Linked DNA regions of Saccharomyces cerevisiae S288C. The protein of the gene in region 4 purifies or fractionates together with the protein of the main gene of each other region. This does not show direct contact. Each region holds a gene or a part of one and is shown on either strand. Other genes may lie near its edges.

The links.
Region 1: the proteins of RPS6A (region 4) and SHM1 purify together in Saccharomyces cerevisiae (affinity purification with mass spectrometry, with the first as the bait; 2 studies listed by BioGRID). This does not show direct contact.
Region 2: the proteins of RPS6A (region 4) and RIO2 purify together in Saccharomyces cerevisiae (affinity purification with mass spectrometry; 5 studies listed by BioGRID). This does not show direct contact.
Region 3: the proteins of RPS6A (region 4) and ENP2 purify together in Saccharomyces cerevisiae (affinity purification with mass spectrometry, with the first as the bait; 2 studies listed by BioGRID). This does not show direct contact.

The regions. Positions count from the first base shown.
Region 1 is NC_001134.8:734,488-738,236, forward strand, and holds SHM1 (glycine hydroxymethyltransferase SHM1), read left to right. Parts: upstream 1-1,776; coding exon 1,777-3,249; downstream 3,250-3,749. Other genes in the region: GTPase-activating protein RGD1, read right to left, coding at 1-152; TAE1 (N-terminal protein methyltransferase), read right to left, coding at 345-1,043; MIC12 (Mic12p), read right to left, coding at 1,233-1,553; Rab family GTPase YPT10, read right to left, coding at 3,283-3,749. UniProt on the Saccharomyces cerevisiae protein: Interconversion of serine and glycine.
Region 2 is NC_001146.8:253,559-257,130, forward strand, and holds RIO2 (protein kinase RIO2), read left to right. Parts: upstream 1-1,794; coding exon 1,795-3,072; downstream 3,073-3,572. Other genes in the region: Hsp70 family ATPase SSB2, read left to right, coding at 1-342; YNL208W (uncharacterized protein), read left to right, coding at 860-1,459; RTT106 (Rtt106p), read right to left, coding at 3,230-3,572. UniProt on the Saccharomyces cerevisiae protein: Required for the final endonucleolytic cleavage of 20S pre-rRNA at site D in the cytoplasm, converting it into the mature 18S rRNA. Involved in normal export of the pre-40S particles from the nucleus to the cytoplasm.
Region 3 is NC_001139.9:779,504-785,064, forward strand, and holds ENP2 (ribosome biosynthesis protein ENP2), read left to right. Parts: upstream 1-2,263; coding exon 2,264-4,387; downstream 4,388-5,561. Other genes in the region: THI4 (thiamine thiazole synthase), read left to right, coding at 896-1,876; ECL1 (Ecl1p), read right to left, coding at 4,720-5,355. UniProt on the Saccharomyces cerevisiae protein: May be involved in rRNA-processing and ribosome biosynthesis.
Region 4 is NC_001148.4:376,098-380,330, reverse strand, and holds RPS6A (40S ribosomal protein eS6 RPS6A), read left to right. Parts: upstream 1-1,935; coding exon 1,936-1,941; intron 1,942-2,335; coding exon 2,336-3,040; downstream 3,041-4,233. Other genes in the region: RLM1 (Rlm1p), read left to right, coding at 1-1,211; glutathione-disulfide reductase GLR1, read right to left, coding at 3,378-4,233.

The DNA.
Region 1 (3,749 bases), on a different chromosome or scaffold from region 4:
CGGCTCAACAAAGCGTTAATTGCCACATCGGAATTTAGCACCTTCTTGATCTCTGGCGTGCTAAAAAGGTGCGCCAAATCGTCGGTGCCACCATCGTGCGACGACTTCGCACTTACTGTGGCACTAGCTGGTTTCTTCGCAGTCTCTTCCATCTTGTCTATATCACTTCTCTTTTAATCTTCCGAGATTGTATGTTTTTACTTTACATACTATTTTGTTCACATTCTTTATTTTCTGGGTTCTTTTTCCATATATATCGAAAAAAAAGTCTATATAATGGCACAAATGGTGAATGCCAGCACAAGAAAAGGGGCGTATCTATATAAATCTATGCATCCTTGATCCTAGTTTGGCATGGGCTTGAGTGCGTACATCCTCACTGGGTACAATTCTCTTGGTAAGCCACGTTGTCTTTCACTGGCGATGAGCTTTAGGCCAGCTTCTTCGAAGATTTGCCTGAACTTAGCATCTGACCTTGTGACCGAAGAATCCGTTTCGTCGAAATCATCGGTATCTGTAGGTGTGTTATTTTCTTTGACCACGATTGTCCCATTAGGTTGCAAACCAACAATACATCTTTTCAGGAATGCGACGAGTTCTGCATCTGGCAGGTGTCCCACGCACCATTGGCACCAGATCAGCCAGTACTTGCCGGCATCGGGGGTCCAGTCCTGCATCCCTACTTCATATATTTGTCCAATTTGGCCTTTGTCTTTCAGCTCAGCCAATTCAACGTGCATTTGCTCGATAAAAGGCTTTACCGGTTCTACAAGGTCTATCTTAGCGGCGTGCTTGTGAAGCATGGTCTTGCTTACACGTCCAATCCCCGCACCAATGTCTACAGCGTACTTCACGTTGTTCTCCTGAGGCAGCATCCTCGACTTCAGTTTACGCAGGAAGTTATTGGATCCCAGGACATCCATTGTGGGTACTACTGTACCTTCTCCGTATCCACCTAGAACACCATCCACAGTGGCGTCCACATCCGTCCAATAGTCGATGGCATCTTCGTATTTGATATGGGAATCTGCAGGCACGTCCATCGTTGTTGTTTATGTATTCTTTCTTGGAGATGCTCTTGACACCGATGCACATTACCAGAGTGAAAAGTACTGATTAATAATTAAATTTTTCTTTTGATATTTTTTCTGAATATAAAGTTCTACACAGAGTCGTTACAATAGGTTATATACATGAGGATGTTCGTTACAGTAGGAGAAATAGAAAGCTCGCTAATTCTTACCCCAGGAGTAGATCCAATCGACAGAGTTTCTTATCTGTTCATTCCAAATATCTTTTATGCTCTCCCCCATGGTCCTGCTCCATGCAGTGCCATCATCCGTCACAACTAGCTTGCGGTTCCTGGTCTCCCCAGGTACCACTTCTTTTCTATCCACCAGGTCCTGTACCTGATGATCTTGTTTCAACCATGTAGCATCGTGATCGTAGAAGTAGCCATTGTTACTGTATCGGTACAGGTAAAAAACAGAACCGATTACTCCCACAGAGAGAGTCCACTTCACAGATCTTGCTAACGGACCCAATTTCGACATGATTCTCTCCGTTATCTGCTGGTTCTTAGTCCACTGTCTGTTCTGTCCCCCTTCTGTCCAAGAGATAGAATATAAAAAAGACTCATTATTTTTTTTTAGGTACTTCGCTTATTGGTGGTCAATGAGAAAAAAAATACTAAAAGCCATCGCCTCTTGGAGAAGAGCAAACTATCAAAAATCATCAAGCCGACATTTCCACATCGAGTCTCATAGTCTTTCAATCATGTTTCCCAGAGCTTCTGCATTGGCCAAATGTATGGCAACTGTTCATCGTCGTGGGCTACTCACCAGTGGTGCACAATCGCTAGTCTCCAAACCAGTCTCGGAGGGAGATCCAGAGATGTTTGACATCTTGCAACAAGAACGTCACAGACAAAAACACTCTATCACCCTTATCCCATCAGAAAACTTCACCTCGAAGGCCGTTATGGATTTGCTAGGTTCTGAGCTCCAAAACAAGTATTCTGAAGGTTATCCAGGTGAAAGATACTACGGAGGTAACGAAATCATCGATAAGTCCGAATCCTTGTGTCAAGCAAGAGCTCTGGAACTGTACGGATTAGACCCTGCCAAGTGGGGAGTTAATGTTCAACCATTAAGCGGGGCACCTGCCAATTTGTATGTTTACTCCGCTATCATGAACGTTGGTGAAAGATTAATGGGATTGGATTTGCCAGATGGTGGTCACTTGTCTCACGGGTACCAACTTAAGTCAGGAACGCCAATTTCTTTCATTTCCAAATACTTCCAAAGTATGCCATACCATGTCGACCACACTACGGGGCTAATCGATTACGATAACTTGCAAGTATTGGCCAAGGCATTCAGACCAAAGGTGATCGTGGCCGGTACTTCCGCGTACTCGAGATTAATAGACTACGCTAGATTCAAGGAAATTTCCCAAGGATGCGGCGCATATTTGATGAGTGATATGGCACACATATCCGGTTTGGTGGCAGCCAATGTTGTCCCATCTCCATTTGAACATTCCGATATAGTTACCACAACCACTCACAAGTCCTTGAGAGGCCCAAGAGGTGCTATGATTTTCTTCAGAAAGGGTATCAAGTCTGTCACCAAAAAGGGCAAGGAAATCCCATATGAGTTAGAAAAGAAAATCAACTTCTCAGTTTTCCCAGGACATCAAGGTGGTCCTCACAACCATACTATCGGTGCAATGGCAGTGGCATTAAAGCAAGCGATGTCTCCAGAATTCAAAGAATACCAACAAAAAATTGTCGACAACAGCAAATGGTTTGCTCAGGAACTAACCAAGATGGGTTATAAGTTGGTTTCCGGCGGTACCGATAACCACTTGATTGTTATTGACTTATCCGGTACTCAGGTAGACGGTGCTCGTGTCGAGACAATTTTAAGTGCCTTGAACATTGCTGCTAACAAGAACACCATCCCAGGTGATAAGAGTGCTCTTTTCCCCTCTGGTCTAAGAATCGGTACTCCAGCAATGACCACGAGAGGATTTGGCCGTGAAGAGTTTTCTCAAGTCGCAAAGTACATTGATTCTGCCGTTAAGCTCGCTGAAAATTTGAAAACTTTGGAACCAACAACGAAACTAGATGCAAGATCAAGACTCAATGAGTTCAAGAAGTTGTGTAATGAATCTAGTGAAGTCGCTGCTTTGTCTGGCGAGATTTCCAAGTGGGTCGGTCAATACCCTGTCCCAGGTGATATCTAAGTAATTATGATTTAAAATCAAATACTTTATGTATTAACATATACAGCCACTGCCGCTTTTTTTTTTATTTATTTCCAGTATATTTCCCTGTTCATTGTTCTTTGACAATGTCTTGAATTGACTTTCGGGAACCAAACTGATTATTATTTTATTCAATGTATCGAAATTGTACCCTGTCTTTGCACTTACGGCCACATACGGCAGACCCTGTAACTCCGCCGGTATAGTCACTTCCCCTGAATGCTCTTCGCAGACTAAATCGTACTTATTGCCCACGATAATTACCTGCGTTCCCTGAGCACGGTCCTGTAAATCTTGAAACCATGTCTTTGCACATTGCAGACTGGATACGTCTCCCAATTCGAATACAATCAAAGCAATATTCGCATCTCGATAATACATTGGCACCAGTGATTTATACCGTTCCTGACCCGCCGTGTCCCATATCTCCATATGGATACGTTTCTCCGTAGAGGAGTCGTTAGAAGGAACCTCGATTG
Region 2 (3,572 bases), on a different chromosome or scaffold from region 4:
AAGTCTTCTAACATCACTATCTCCAACGCTGTCGGTAGATTGTCTTCTGAAGAAATTGAAAAGATGGTTAACCAAGCCGAAGAGTTCAAGGCTGCTGATGAAGCTTTTGCTAAGAAGCACGAAGCTAGACAAAGACTAGAATCCTACGTCGCTTCCATCGAACAAACCGTCACTGACCCAGTCTTGTCTTCTAAATTGAAGAGAGGTTCCAAGTCCAAGATCGAAGCTGCTTTGTCCGATGCTTTGGCTGCTTTGCAAATCGAAGACCCATCCGCTGATGAGTTGAGAAAGGCAGAAGTTGGTTTGAAGAGAGTTGTCACCAAGGCCATGTCTTCTCGTTAAGATGTCATTCTGGTTAAGGTTATACACATATATATATTTTTCATTTTTAATGTCTTAGCTTTTGTATCTTAGATGAAGTTTTAGTTCTGTATATCACGATCAAGATATCATACAATCATAAATTCAATTATTCTTCTGTTTCCCCTCTTGAGGCATCAAACGAGTGTTTGACTGATACACACCAACATACTAAGGCAACTTTTCTGGCTGCCCAAAGCTGTGGCACGTATGAAACTGCTTTTCGGCTGCATAAAACAACCATGTGGAGTTTTTACTGTATTCGCATTTCGCCCCGCTAGCATTCTTCGTTCATGCTAAAAATGAGGCGTGGGCTAATATTCAGTATTAATAATTCCGGCACCCGCACAGCCCATACCGGAAAAGGGGCTGGCTGTTGGGCTTGGCAAAAAACTCAATCTGAGCAGTCATTTATAAAGAAAGACTTTAATTTGTCTTGCTAAACACTTGTAAGCCTTCCAAATATAGATCACTTAAGACAATCTAACAAGTGTCCAAAATGTCTGCAAACGAATTCTACTCAAGTGGCCAACAAGGTCAATATAACCAGCAAAACAACCAAGAAAGAACTGGTGCTCCAAACAACGGTCAATATGGTGCCGACAATGGTAACCCCAACGGTGAACGTGGTTTATTTTCCACTATTGTAGGTGGCAGTGCCGGTGCGTACGCTGGATCTAAGGTGTCGAACAACCATTCTAAGTTGAGTGGTGTGCTGGGCGCCATAGGTGGTGCATTCCTTGCCAACAAGATATCTGATGAGCGTAAAGAGCATAAGCAACAAGAGCAATACGGCAACTCAAACTTCGGAGGTGCTCCTCAAGGTGGACACAACAACCATCACCGTCAGGACAATAACAACAATAACGGTGGATTTGGCGGTCCAGGCGGCCCTGGCGGTCAAGGTTTCGGAAGACAAGGCCCACAAGGATTTGGAGGTCCTGGTCCACAAGAGTTTGGTGGTCCAGGTGGCCAAGGATTCGGTGGTCCAAATCCTCAAGAATTCGGCGGGCCAGGTGGCCAAGGATTCGGTGGTCCAAACCCTCAGGAATTCGGGGGCCAAGGTCGTCAAGGATTCAATGGCGGTTCACGTTGGTGAATGGCTCAACAGAGTGAGTGTCATTTTTAGCTAACTACATACTTGATTTATCTATATATACATATATACTACTCGTTTTATTATGATGTCGTAACAAATGACTTATTCGAGAAAAGAAAACGTGAAAAAATAAGCTAAAAATTTGGCGATGAGGTTCTCTGTTGAAGTTGGAACCCGCAATTCATGATTTTGGTAAGGTCAAGGATCATCAGTAATTAGCTTAAAGTAAGAACTACTCAATAATATTAAACCATTTATCCTTGGCTCGTCTTTCTATTGACCAATCAATACTATTTTAAACATCTCTTCTACCACATACTTTCAATCAGACTAGAATGAAATTGGATACTTCTCATATGAGATATTTGACAACTGATGATTTTCGTGTCCTCCAGGCCGTTGAACAAGGTTCTAGAAGTCACGAAGTCGTTCCAACTCCCTTGATTCATCAAATCTCGGGGATGAGATCGCAGTCCGGAACAAACCGAGCCATTAGTGATTTGGCCAAGCTTAGCCTTATTTCCAAAATGAGAAATGTCAAATATGATGGTTACAGGCTAACTTATAACGGTATTGATTATTTGGCTTTGAAAACCATGTTAAACAGAGACACTGTCTATTCTGTCGGTAACACTATTGGTGTTGGTAAGGAATCTGACATCTATAAAGTAAGTGACAAAAATGGAAACCCTAGAGTAATGAAAATTCACAGATTAGGTAGAACCTCTTTTCATTCCGTCAGAAATAATAGAGATTATCTGAAGAAATCCAACCAGGGGGCAAACTGGATGCATCTTTCACGTTTGGCAGCCAATAAAGAATATCAGTTTATGTCCATGCTTTATTCTAAGGGTTTCAAGGTCCCTGAGCCATTCGATAACTCGCGTCATATAGTCGTTATGGAGCTTATCGAGGGTTACCCAATGAGGAGATTAAGAAAACATAAGAATATACCCAAGCTTTATAGTGATCTGATGTGTTTCATCGTTGATCTAGCAAATAGCGGACTTATCCATTGTGATTTTAATGAGTTTAATATTATGATAAAGGACAAACTAGAGGATGAAAACGATTGTGGGTTCGTAGTTATTGATTTTCCACAATGTATATCTATTCAACACCAAGACGCCGACTATTATTTCCAAAGGGATGTTGACTGTATTCGTCGTTTCTTCAAAAAGAAACTGAAGTACGAACCAAAACCTGATTCATCAATGCTCGACACTGAAGGTTTCGGCGATGGTTATAAATATGCGTATCCAGATTTCAAAAGGGACGTTAAAAGAACCGACAATTTGGATGAATTGGTGCAGGCTTCCGGATTTAGCAAAAAGCATCCAGGAGATAGGGGCCTGGAAACTGCCGTTGAAAGCATGAGAAATGCTGTTTATAATTCAGATGACGATATGTCTAATGACGAGGCCGAAGAAGAAAATGGGGAGGGCGATTATTCAGAGGAGGATGAATACTATGACTCCGAACTTGATAATGAAAGTTCTGAAGATGACAGTGAAGATGCACAAGAAGAGGAGAACGAACGTATTATAGAGGCGCTTTCCAGTGGTGTTGAAAATCTAAAAATGGATAAACTAGGAAACTATATACTAGAGTAGTTTAGTTTAGACGACTGCATAAATGGCCGCAAATAATCAAGTTGTTATCCATAATTTTTTTGATTTTTAAGCCATGTTATTCTTCAGGATAAAAAAAGTGGTATTTATGAACTCTTACATATGCGTATTCATGCTATATTATAATATCGAATCTAAGTCAATCGTATTCTACTCCGGATCCATCCTCATCATCTTCATCGTCATCATTATCAATTTCTATCGGAATATCTTCGAGTTCTAACGGCTCCTTAAACTCTTTGTATTGGAGTTCCTGTTCTGGTTGACCATTTATAGAAGCAAAACTATTATCTCTATTCAAAGCGCTTTGGCCCTTTTTGTCTTCCTCTTCATCGTCTTCTTCATCATCTTCTTCTGCTTCCTCTCCGTCTTCTGCACCGTCTGAGGATTCTTGGCCACTCCCATCGGAAAGGTCGCTCTCAGCTTCGAAATTTTGGTCATTTTCTTCATCATCGTCTGAAAACACACCTGCCTTTTTCTCG
Region 3 (5,561 bases), on a different chromosome or scaffold from region 4:
CTTATTCTATCAGGGAAATGCATCAGATAATGGATAAAATGGAAAGAATGGAAAGGAATTGTAACATGCCTATATATGGAAAACGAGCTTTTAGAGCTTTCAAGTTAACCCCGGGCGGTTAGTGTAGTGGTTATCATCCCACCCTTCCAAGGTGGGGACACGGGTTCGATTCTCGTACCGCTCAAGATTACTTTTTTAATTTTCATACTTTTTCTCCTAATATCTTGCAAATCATGACTGAATTGACATTAACTGATGCAAATGGGTGGGAAAAATGCTTATCAACCCCCTAAAAAGTCAACTTCTTCGTTAGTGATTGCTATATGTGGCGTCAAGAATTACAAGAAGCTGGCGAGCTTTCCAAGCCCCTTCAGGATTAACCGTTTTTTACCCTTTTTTTACAAATTTACGGCGGGGAATAATTCTGATACTTTCTCTTTATGAGCATTCCTCAACAGGGATCGGCACTCAATTGCTTTAGTGAATAGTTTTTTTTTACGCCAAGAACATTTACCACCCCATTTTCCTGTAGACGTCCAAAACGATACTCTACTTTAAGCCCTTTTTCTGAAGTTTTCATAAAATGTCCGATCTCCTAACGTCATTTTTAAAATCAAATGGTCTTTTAATAATTATGCACGTTAAAAAACATACATAATTGATAGTAAAGAATCTGGTATTCTATCAGTTACCAAGTTCAATCGTAAATTTTTTTACGAGCACTAATAGAAATGGATCATGAAATTGATTTTTTGATTTTCAATTTATGAACTACCCAGATATATAAATATTGGAATAAATTGTGTATTAAGTAGTCGGGAAATATCTTTTATGTTCTCTTTCTTATCATCTAGAAATAATAAATCACAACCAAAAAAATCAACTAACTATCAAAATGTCTGCTACCTCTACTGCTACTTCCACAAGTGCCTCTCAATTGCACTTAAACTCTACTCCAGTTACTCACTGCTTATCTGACATCGTTAAGAAAGAAGATTGGTCTGACTTTAAATTTGCTCCCATCCGCGAATCCACTGTCTCTCGTGCTATGACTTCTCGTTATTTCAAGGATCTTGACAAGTTTGCCGTTTCTGACGTGATTATTGTCGGTGCGGGCTCTTCAGGTTTATCCGCCGCTTACGTCATCGCCAAGAACAGACCAGACTTGAAGGTTTGTATTATCGAAAGTTCAGTTGCACCAGGTGGTGGTAGTTGGTTGGGTGGTCAATTATTTAGTGCCATGGTTATGAGAAAACCAGCTCATTTGTTCTTACAAGAGTTGGAAATCCCTTACGAAGACGAAGGTGACTATGTTGTCGTTAAGCATGCCGCTTTGTTCATCTCTACTGTCCTTTCAAAGGTCTTGCAATTACCAAATGTTAAACTGTTCAATGCTACCTGTGTTGAAGATTTGGTTACCAGACCACCTACCGAAAAGGGCGAAGTCACCGTTGCTGGTGTTGTCACCAACTGGACGTTAGTTACCCAAGCTCACGGTACTCAATGTTGCATGGACCCTAACGTAATTGAATTGGCAGGTTACAAAAATGACGGAACTCGTGACTTGAGTCAAAAGCATGGTGTCATTTTATCCACTACCGGTCATGATGGTCCATTTGGTGCTTTCTGCGCCAAGAGAATCGTCGACATTGATCAAAACCAAAAATTGGGCGGTATGAAGGGTCTGGACATGAACCATGCCGAACACGATGTCGTTATTCACTCTGGTGCATACGCCGGTGTTGACAACATGTACTTTGCTGGTATGGAAGTTGCTGAACTGGATGGATTAAACCGTATGGGTCCAACTTTTGGAGCTATGGCTTTGAGTGGTGTTCATGCTGCTGAGCAAATTTTGAAACACTTTGCTGCTTAGGCTTTTAATGAGGTATGCTTTTAAAGATTTATATATTTTTTATACACGCTATATACACAATTTTCGCTGATGATTTTGTTTTATTATTGATTTTTAAATTAACCGTAGAAAATACTAAGTGGAAAGATCCGATAGTGATGAGATAAGACTTTTAGTTATCTCTGTAATGGTGAGTTTTCGCACATCTTGCAATATTAAAAATATAAATCAATTCTTCAAATGTCACTTCATGGTCGGGTAACCAAATATGATCTTAAAAAAAATTAAGAAAAAAAAAAATTGAAAATTTTGAGCTAAGCTCATCTCATCTCATCGGCTGTAATCAGTAACACATCATTTATTACATCAGTTACAGGTATCAACATATATCTTCAAAAAGGGGACATTATGGTTTTGAAATCTACTTCCGCAAATGATGTTTCAGTATATCAGGTTTCTGGTACAAACGTTTCAAGATCACTTCCAGACTGGATTGCGAAAAAGCGCAAAAGGCAATTAAAGAATGATTTAGAATATCAAAATAGAGTAGAACTGATTCAAGATTTTGAATTTAGCGAAGCCTCCAATAAGATTAAAGTGAGTAGAGATGGGCAATATTGCATGGCTACCGGTACATACAAACCTCAGATCCATGTCTACGATTTTGCTAATTTGTCACTGAAGTTCGATAGACACACAGATGCTGAAAACGTGGATTTCACTATTCTCTCTGACGATTGGACTAAAAGTGTACATTTACAAAATGATAGAAGTATTCAATTCCAAAACAAAGGTGGTCTACATTACACCACAAGAATTCCTAAATTTGGGAGAAGTTTAGTTTACAATAAGGTAAACTGTGATTTATATGTTGGTGCGAGCGGTAATGAGTTATACAGGTTGAACTTGGAAAAGGGGAGATTTTTAAACCCATTCAAGTTGGATACTGAAGGCGTGAACCATGTTTCTATCAATGAAGTAAATGGGTTGTTAGCGGCAGGCACGGAAACAAATGTAGTGGAATTCTGGGATCCAAGGTCGCGTTCCCGTGTTTCAAAGCTATATTTAGAGAACAATATTGACAACAGACCATTCCAAGTCACCACAACCAGTTTCCGTAATGACGGGTTAACTTTTGCATGTGGTACGTCGAACGGTTATTCATACATTTATGACTTGCGTACTTCTGAACCTTCCATTATTAAAGACCAAGGTTATGGGTTTGACATTAAGAAAATTATTTGGTTGGATAACGTCGGCACGGAAAATAAAATTGTTACATGTGACAAGAGAATTGCAAAAATATGGGATAGACTAGATGGTAAGGCATACGCTTCTATGGAGCCTAGTGTTGATATTAACGACATTGAGCATGTACCAGGTACAGGTATGTTTTTCACCGCTAACGAAAGTATTCCCATGCATACATATTATATTCCAAGTTTAGGACCATCTCCACGCTGGTGCTCATTCTTGGATTCTATCACAGAAGAATTAGAAGAAAAACCAAGTGACACTGTTTACTCTAACTACAGGTTCATTACTAGAGACGACGTTAAAAAATTGAATTTAACGCACTTGGTGGGATCCAGAGTATTAAGAGCATACATGCATGGTTTCTTTATTAACACTGAACTTTACGATAAGGTTTCATTAATTGCTAATCCAGATGCCTACAAAGATGAAAGAGAAAGAGAAATTAGACGTAGAATTGAGAAAGAAAGAGAATCCAGAATCAGAAGTTCAGGGGCTGTTCAAAAACCTAAAATTAAAGTCAATAAAACATTGGTTGATAAACTATCTCAAAAACGTGGTGATAAAGTTGCAGGAAAGGTTCTTACGGATGACCGTTTCAAAGAAATGTTTGAGGATGAAGAATTTCAAGTCGATGAAGATGACTATGATTTCAAACAATTGAATCCAGTAAAATCCATCAAAGAAACCGAAGAAGGTGCTGCTAAACGTATTAGGGCGCTAACTGCTGCCGAAGAGTCCGACGAAGAAAGAATTGCAATGAAGGATGGCAGAGGTCACTATGACTACGAGGATGAAGAGTCTGATGAAGAAGAATCTGATGATGAAACGAACCAAAAGTCAAATAAGGAAGAATTAAGTGAAAAAGATTTGAGAAAGATGGAAAAGCAAAAGGCACTAATTGAACGCAGAAAGAAGGAAAAGGAGCAAAGCGAACGTTTTATGAACGAAATGAAAGCCGGCACTTCCACGAGTACGCAAAGAGACGAAAGTGCTCACGTTACATTTGGCGAACAAGTAGGCGAATTGCTTGAGGTGGAAAATGGAAAGAAATCAAATGAATCCATTTTACGTCGTAACCAACGCGGTGAAGCAGAACTTACTTTTATTCCTCAAAGAAAAAGCAAAAAAGACGGAAATTATAAATCCAGGCGTCATGATAATTCATCGGATGAAGAAGGTATTGACGAAAATGGTAATAAGAAGGACAATGGTAGGTCGAAGCCCAGATTCGAAAATAGAAGAAGAGCTAGCAAAAATGCGTTCCGTGGTATGTAGTTATATTAGAAATTGATATTTTAATTATCCTTTCACCTTAAACTAAAAATATTATATGTATGAAGACGAAGACAGCAAAAAGTATGCGTGATACAGTTTACATTATAGAATTCTTTCCCCAAATATTGAGGGTTTTGTTTTTTTTTTTTAATGCAGATGTACGTACATATTTTCTTTATCAAAAGGATGTGTAGAGAACTATGTATATATGTATATGTGTAGGTTTTTTTTTTTTAGGATGACTAGAAAAGGAAATCGAAAAAGAAAAAATAAGCATGAATCATGAGTAGGTTAAAGGCAAGTCGAAGAAGATACGAAGCAAGTGAAGCCGTTTAACTGGAGGATAGTCTAAACCATAGGTTGTAGTTATTCTCAATGATCTGATCTGAGATCAAATGATCATCAATTAGATCGTTTGATCGTGGCAAGTTGTTTTCGTAACCCAAATGTGCCTTTGAATGCAATTGGTAACTAGAATCGAGTCTAAGAGAGTCGGCTAAGTTCAAATAATGTTCATTTTCATCATATTCGTCAACACGAGAAGGATTAGACTCCTGCTTAGGATTGACTATACCATCCTGAGGTAGCAGCAATGGTGAAATTAATAAGGACTCTAGCTTCTCCAACTCGTCAAAGGGGATAGTTGAAGATGTCGGAGATGAAGATAGTGAGGTAGTCGGCTCGAAGAGGTTTGATGCAGTTAAATTTTTAGAATATGAAAGCGGTGGAGTGAGATTATGCGAATGAGAAGTTTTTGATTTTTTATGCAAGTGGGATAATAATTTCTCATTAAGAGGGTTCGAATCCTTCAGCTTACAATCTTCGGAGCAATATAACTTATTTGATTGTAAACTGCTCTTGGTTTCATTGTCCCTTTGGATCTTCCTGGTATTAATGTTCGTTTTCTGTGGAGATGTTGGAATGAGACGATCACAAACAGTGCAGTAATCGTTGAATGCGGTGCTCATTATATGATTGATATGCAAATCGGTAAAGAATACCTGAAAGGAGTGGAGGGATAAGAATAAAGTAATTATTCTCGAGCTTTTTTTATAAGGAAAAAAAGGAGAATCGGTAGCGGAGTATTGTTTCTCTATTCTTTCTTTGCTTACTCTGTTTTATAATTCTCACAAGTGTTCAATTTTTAACTTCTTGGGACAACACTATAGTTCTA
Region 4 (4,233 bases):
CAAGGACCCCTAAACAGGAGCACAAAATTAACAATAGTGGCAGCAATAATAATGACAACAGCAACTACACTCAGTCACCATCTAATTCTTTGGAAGACTCTATTCAGCAGACTGTCAAAGCAAGAAGGAAATTGTCCGCCAGACCGGTACTTCGTGTGAGAATTCCGAACAACAATTTCAGCAGTAATTCCGCTATTCCAAGTGAACCCTCCTCTGCCTCCTCCACATCGGCCAACGGCAATAGTATGGGCTCTTCGCAGATAATGAAAGAAAACAAAACAAGTAGGTCTAGCAAAATTTCTCCACTATCCGCATCTGCCTCAGGCCCCTTAACTCTCCAAAAAGGTAATAATGGCAGAATGGTAATAAAATTGCCAAATGCAAATGCGCCTAACGGTTCTAACAATGGTAATGGCAGTAACAATAACAATCACCCTTATCCTTTCGGAAGTGGGTCTTCACCTCTTTTTTCTGCAACACAGCCATACATTGCCACTCCCTTGCAACCATCGAATATTCCTGGCGGACCTTTCCAACAAAATACATCTTTTTTAGCTCAAAGACAAACCCAGCAATACCAACAAATGTCTTTCAAAAAACAGAGCCAAACAGTACCATTAACTACAACATTAACCGGACGCCCCCCTTCAACTTTTTCCGGCCCTGAAACCAGCAATGGCCCTCCAACTGGTTCACTGCCATCGAAGTTCGTACATGATTTGATGAGTAATTCTCCAAATGTTTCTTCTATATCGATGTTTCCAGACTGGTCAATGGGACCCAACAGTGCCAAGCCGGGAAACACAAACAATCCTGGTACTTTCCCTCCCGTACAGACGGCCGTAAACAACGGCAACTCCAGCAATATCAGCAGCACTAACAACACTAACAACAACAACAACAATAACAACAACAACAGCAGCAACAACAACAGCAACAACGGCAACGACAATAACAGTAACAATAGCAATAACAGTTACTATAGTAATAATGAAGATGCACCCGTAAATGGAGCTGCTATTTCAGAACATACTACCGATGGTGACTCGAACAATCAGTCCAACTCAAGTACATATGATGCTGCTGCCACCGCATATAATGGAAATACCGGGCTGACTCCATACATAAATACTGCTCAAACACCACTAGGCACTAAATTCTTTAATTTTTCGACTGATATTTCAGGAGAAAAAAATTCAAGCAAAATATAAACCAAAAAATTTGACCAGTATGAATATTCCAAGCATAAGAAACTTCTTTTCATTTAAAAAATTTATATTTATATTATTGTAAATGCACATATTTACGTAGTGAATAACCCAAACAAGGAAGAAAAACGAAAAACTCAATTGCATTTTCTGAATAATGATAGTATTTAAGTACTCTTTTGTGCATTAGCAACTAAAATGAATTGCCGCCTGGCCTGGAGTTTGATGTAAGCAGAAGCCGGAAGAAGACAAGAGGTTCATTCAGAGAAAACATCCGTACATTCGAGTTCTCATTGAACCCATACATTTCAACTATTTTTACATAGTTCGTTTTTCATGTGTAAAATTGTCATCGACGCGCCGGAGCATCGGAAAGTTGGAACGTGCGCGATTGCACCAATCCCACTGGGGCCGTGCATTCTGTAGGCAGGAAGCCACTGGACACTCTGCCCGTTCCCACTTGGAAGATTGGCGTAATTCCACGCTCCTCTATCGATTCTAGCGGGAAAGTTATCTCTCCTGGTAAGCGTTGGAGGAATGCCGCTACCTAGGTAAGTCTACTGGGTGGGAATTCCAGTACCGACGTCTAGGAACATCATGATGCTGCAGTTTCTTTGAAATTTCATATACAGTGTTACCAAGGATAAAGTGGTTAATGCTTATTCGTCATTGAATTTTTATATTTGCTTAAGAGAAGTGACAAAAGAGTGAAGACAGACTATACATCATGAAGGTATGATTTATGATACTATTATTGAGGGGCAACAGAGAACTTTATATGTGGAAAAATGGCATGAAAGTTTGAAAGTGAGAAAGAACTAAACAGAACCAGACGTCGTAAAGATTTTAGAAATTTTTTATGGAAAGAAGCAGGAAGACTACCATATACTAATTGATGCGTTTGTGGCGTTATTTTTAAACAAACAGAGCGGGTTTACATATACTGTTACTACAAACCGTGAAATTGAAGCAGTTCATATACTTGGAGTATAGTCAATAAAAGACAAGCTTTTTCATCTTCCACTTAATAATTTCTCTAGAGTAATAAACTTCACCCTATTCAAACATTAATTTTGCAATAGTATACTAACAAATTTTCTTAATAACCTGTTGAAAATTTAAAATAGTTGAACATTTCTTACCCAGTTAACGGGTCTCAAAAGACCTTCGAAATTGATGATGAACACCGTATTCGTGTTTTCTTCGACAAGAGAATCGGTCAAGAAGTCGATGGTGAAGCCGTTGGTGACGAATTCAAGGGTTACGTCTTCAAGATCTCTGGTGGTAACGACAAACAAGGTTTCCCAATGAAGCAAGGTGTTTTGTTGCCAACTAGAATCAAGTTGTTGTTGACCAAGAACGTTTCTTGTTACAGACCAAGACGTGATGGTGAAAGAAAGAGAAAGTCCGTCAGAGGTGCCATTGTTGGTCCAGATTTGGCTGTCTTGGCTTTGGTCATTGTCAAGAAGGGTGAGCAAGAATTGGAAGGTCTAACTGACACTACTGTTCCAAAGAGATTGGGTCCAAAGAGAGCTAACAACATCAGAAAGTTCTTCGGTTTGTCCAAGGAAGATGACGTTCGTGATTTCGTCATCAGAAGAGAAGTCACCAAGGGTGAAAAGACTTACACCAAGGCTCCAAAGATCCAAAGATTGGTTACTCCTCAAAGATTGCAAAGAAAGAGACACCAAAGAGCTTTGAAGGTCAGAAACGCTCAAGCTCAAAGAGAAGCTGCTGCCGAATACGCTCAATTGTTGGCTAAGAGATTGTCTGAAAGAAAGGCTGAGAAGGCTGAAATCAGAAAGAGAAGAGCTTCTTCTTTGAAGGCTTAAAGTTAGAAAGCAGTAAAAGATAAATTCTTTTGTTCAAAAACTCCTTTCTTATTCTGTATTTTGTGTATTTTTAAGCTTAAAATCAAATAACTTTATTTTTTATATAATTAACAAAAAGAAAAATAATCATATGTATTGTAAACGAGAGTCGGAATGTATCCTCAACTGAATATCCAAGCGAGTCCACAGTAGCTAATAGTCTGAAAAAAAAAGGAACCCTTGTCCTTGAACAGAAATGACAAAATTACTACGTATTTCAGGATGCTATATAAGATTGTTTACAAGAGTACAAAAGTCCAGTATAGCAACAGCAGATTGGACGTCTAGTTTCGTTGCTTCATCTCATAGTAACCAATTCTTCTGCGCTAGTCGGATGAATAGCAACACAATTATCGAAATCAGCCTTAGTGGCACCCATCTTTATAGCAACACCGAACCCTTGCAAGATTTCTGCAGAGGAATCACCAACAATGTGCAGACCGACAACCTTTTCATTTGGTCCCGCACAAACAATTTTATATCTTGTGGGTGATTTCTCACTCAACATAGCATAGTACATGGCGGTAAATTTGGAATTGTAGACCTTTATATTCTCCTTACCGTACTTTTCAATGGCTTCCTTCTCAGAAATACCAATGGAACCGGCTTCAGGATGTGAGAAAATTACGCTGGGGACGTTCTCGTAATCTAGTTTGTCATTACGGAATTTCTCTGGACCAAACAGTCTATTAGACAGCTTTCTGCCCGCTGCAATAGCGACAGGTGTCAATTCAACTTTTCCAACAACGTCACCTAGAGAATAAATGTTTGGAACATTGGTGTTCTGATATTCATCAGCAATTATTTGGTCATGAGAGTTCAGCTTTATACCTACATTTTCTGAACCCATACCTAGATGGGATTTACGTCCAATTGTCCAAATTAATTCGTCAACGTCATCGATGGACTTTGAGTCATTCATATGTATTTTCAGTTTGTCAGTTTCTACATTTTTCTCCACCTTAACAATTTTGGATAGTTTATGAACGTTGATGCCTTCCTTTACGTAATGGTCAGTAATAGTGTTCTGGATGCATTCATCAAATTTTCTCAAGACAGTTTCACCTCTAATTACCAAGTGCGTTTCGGATCCCAGCCCATGGAACACACCTGCTAGCTCAATACCAATATAACCAGCGCCAACAACAACAACT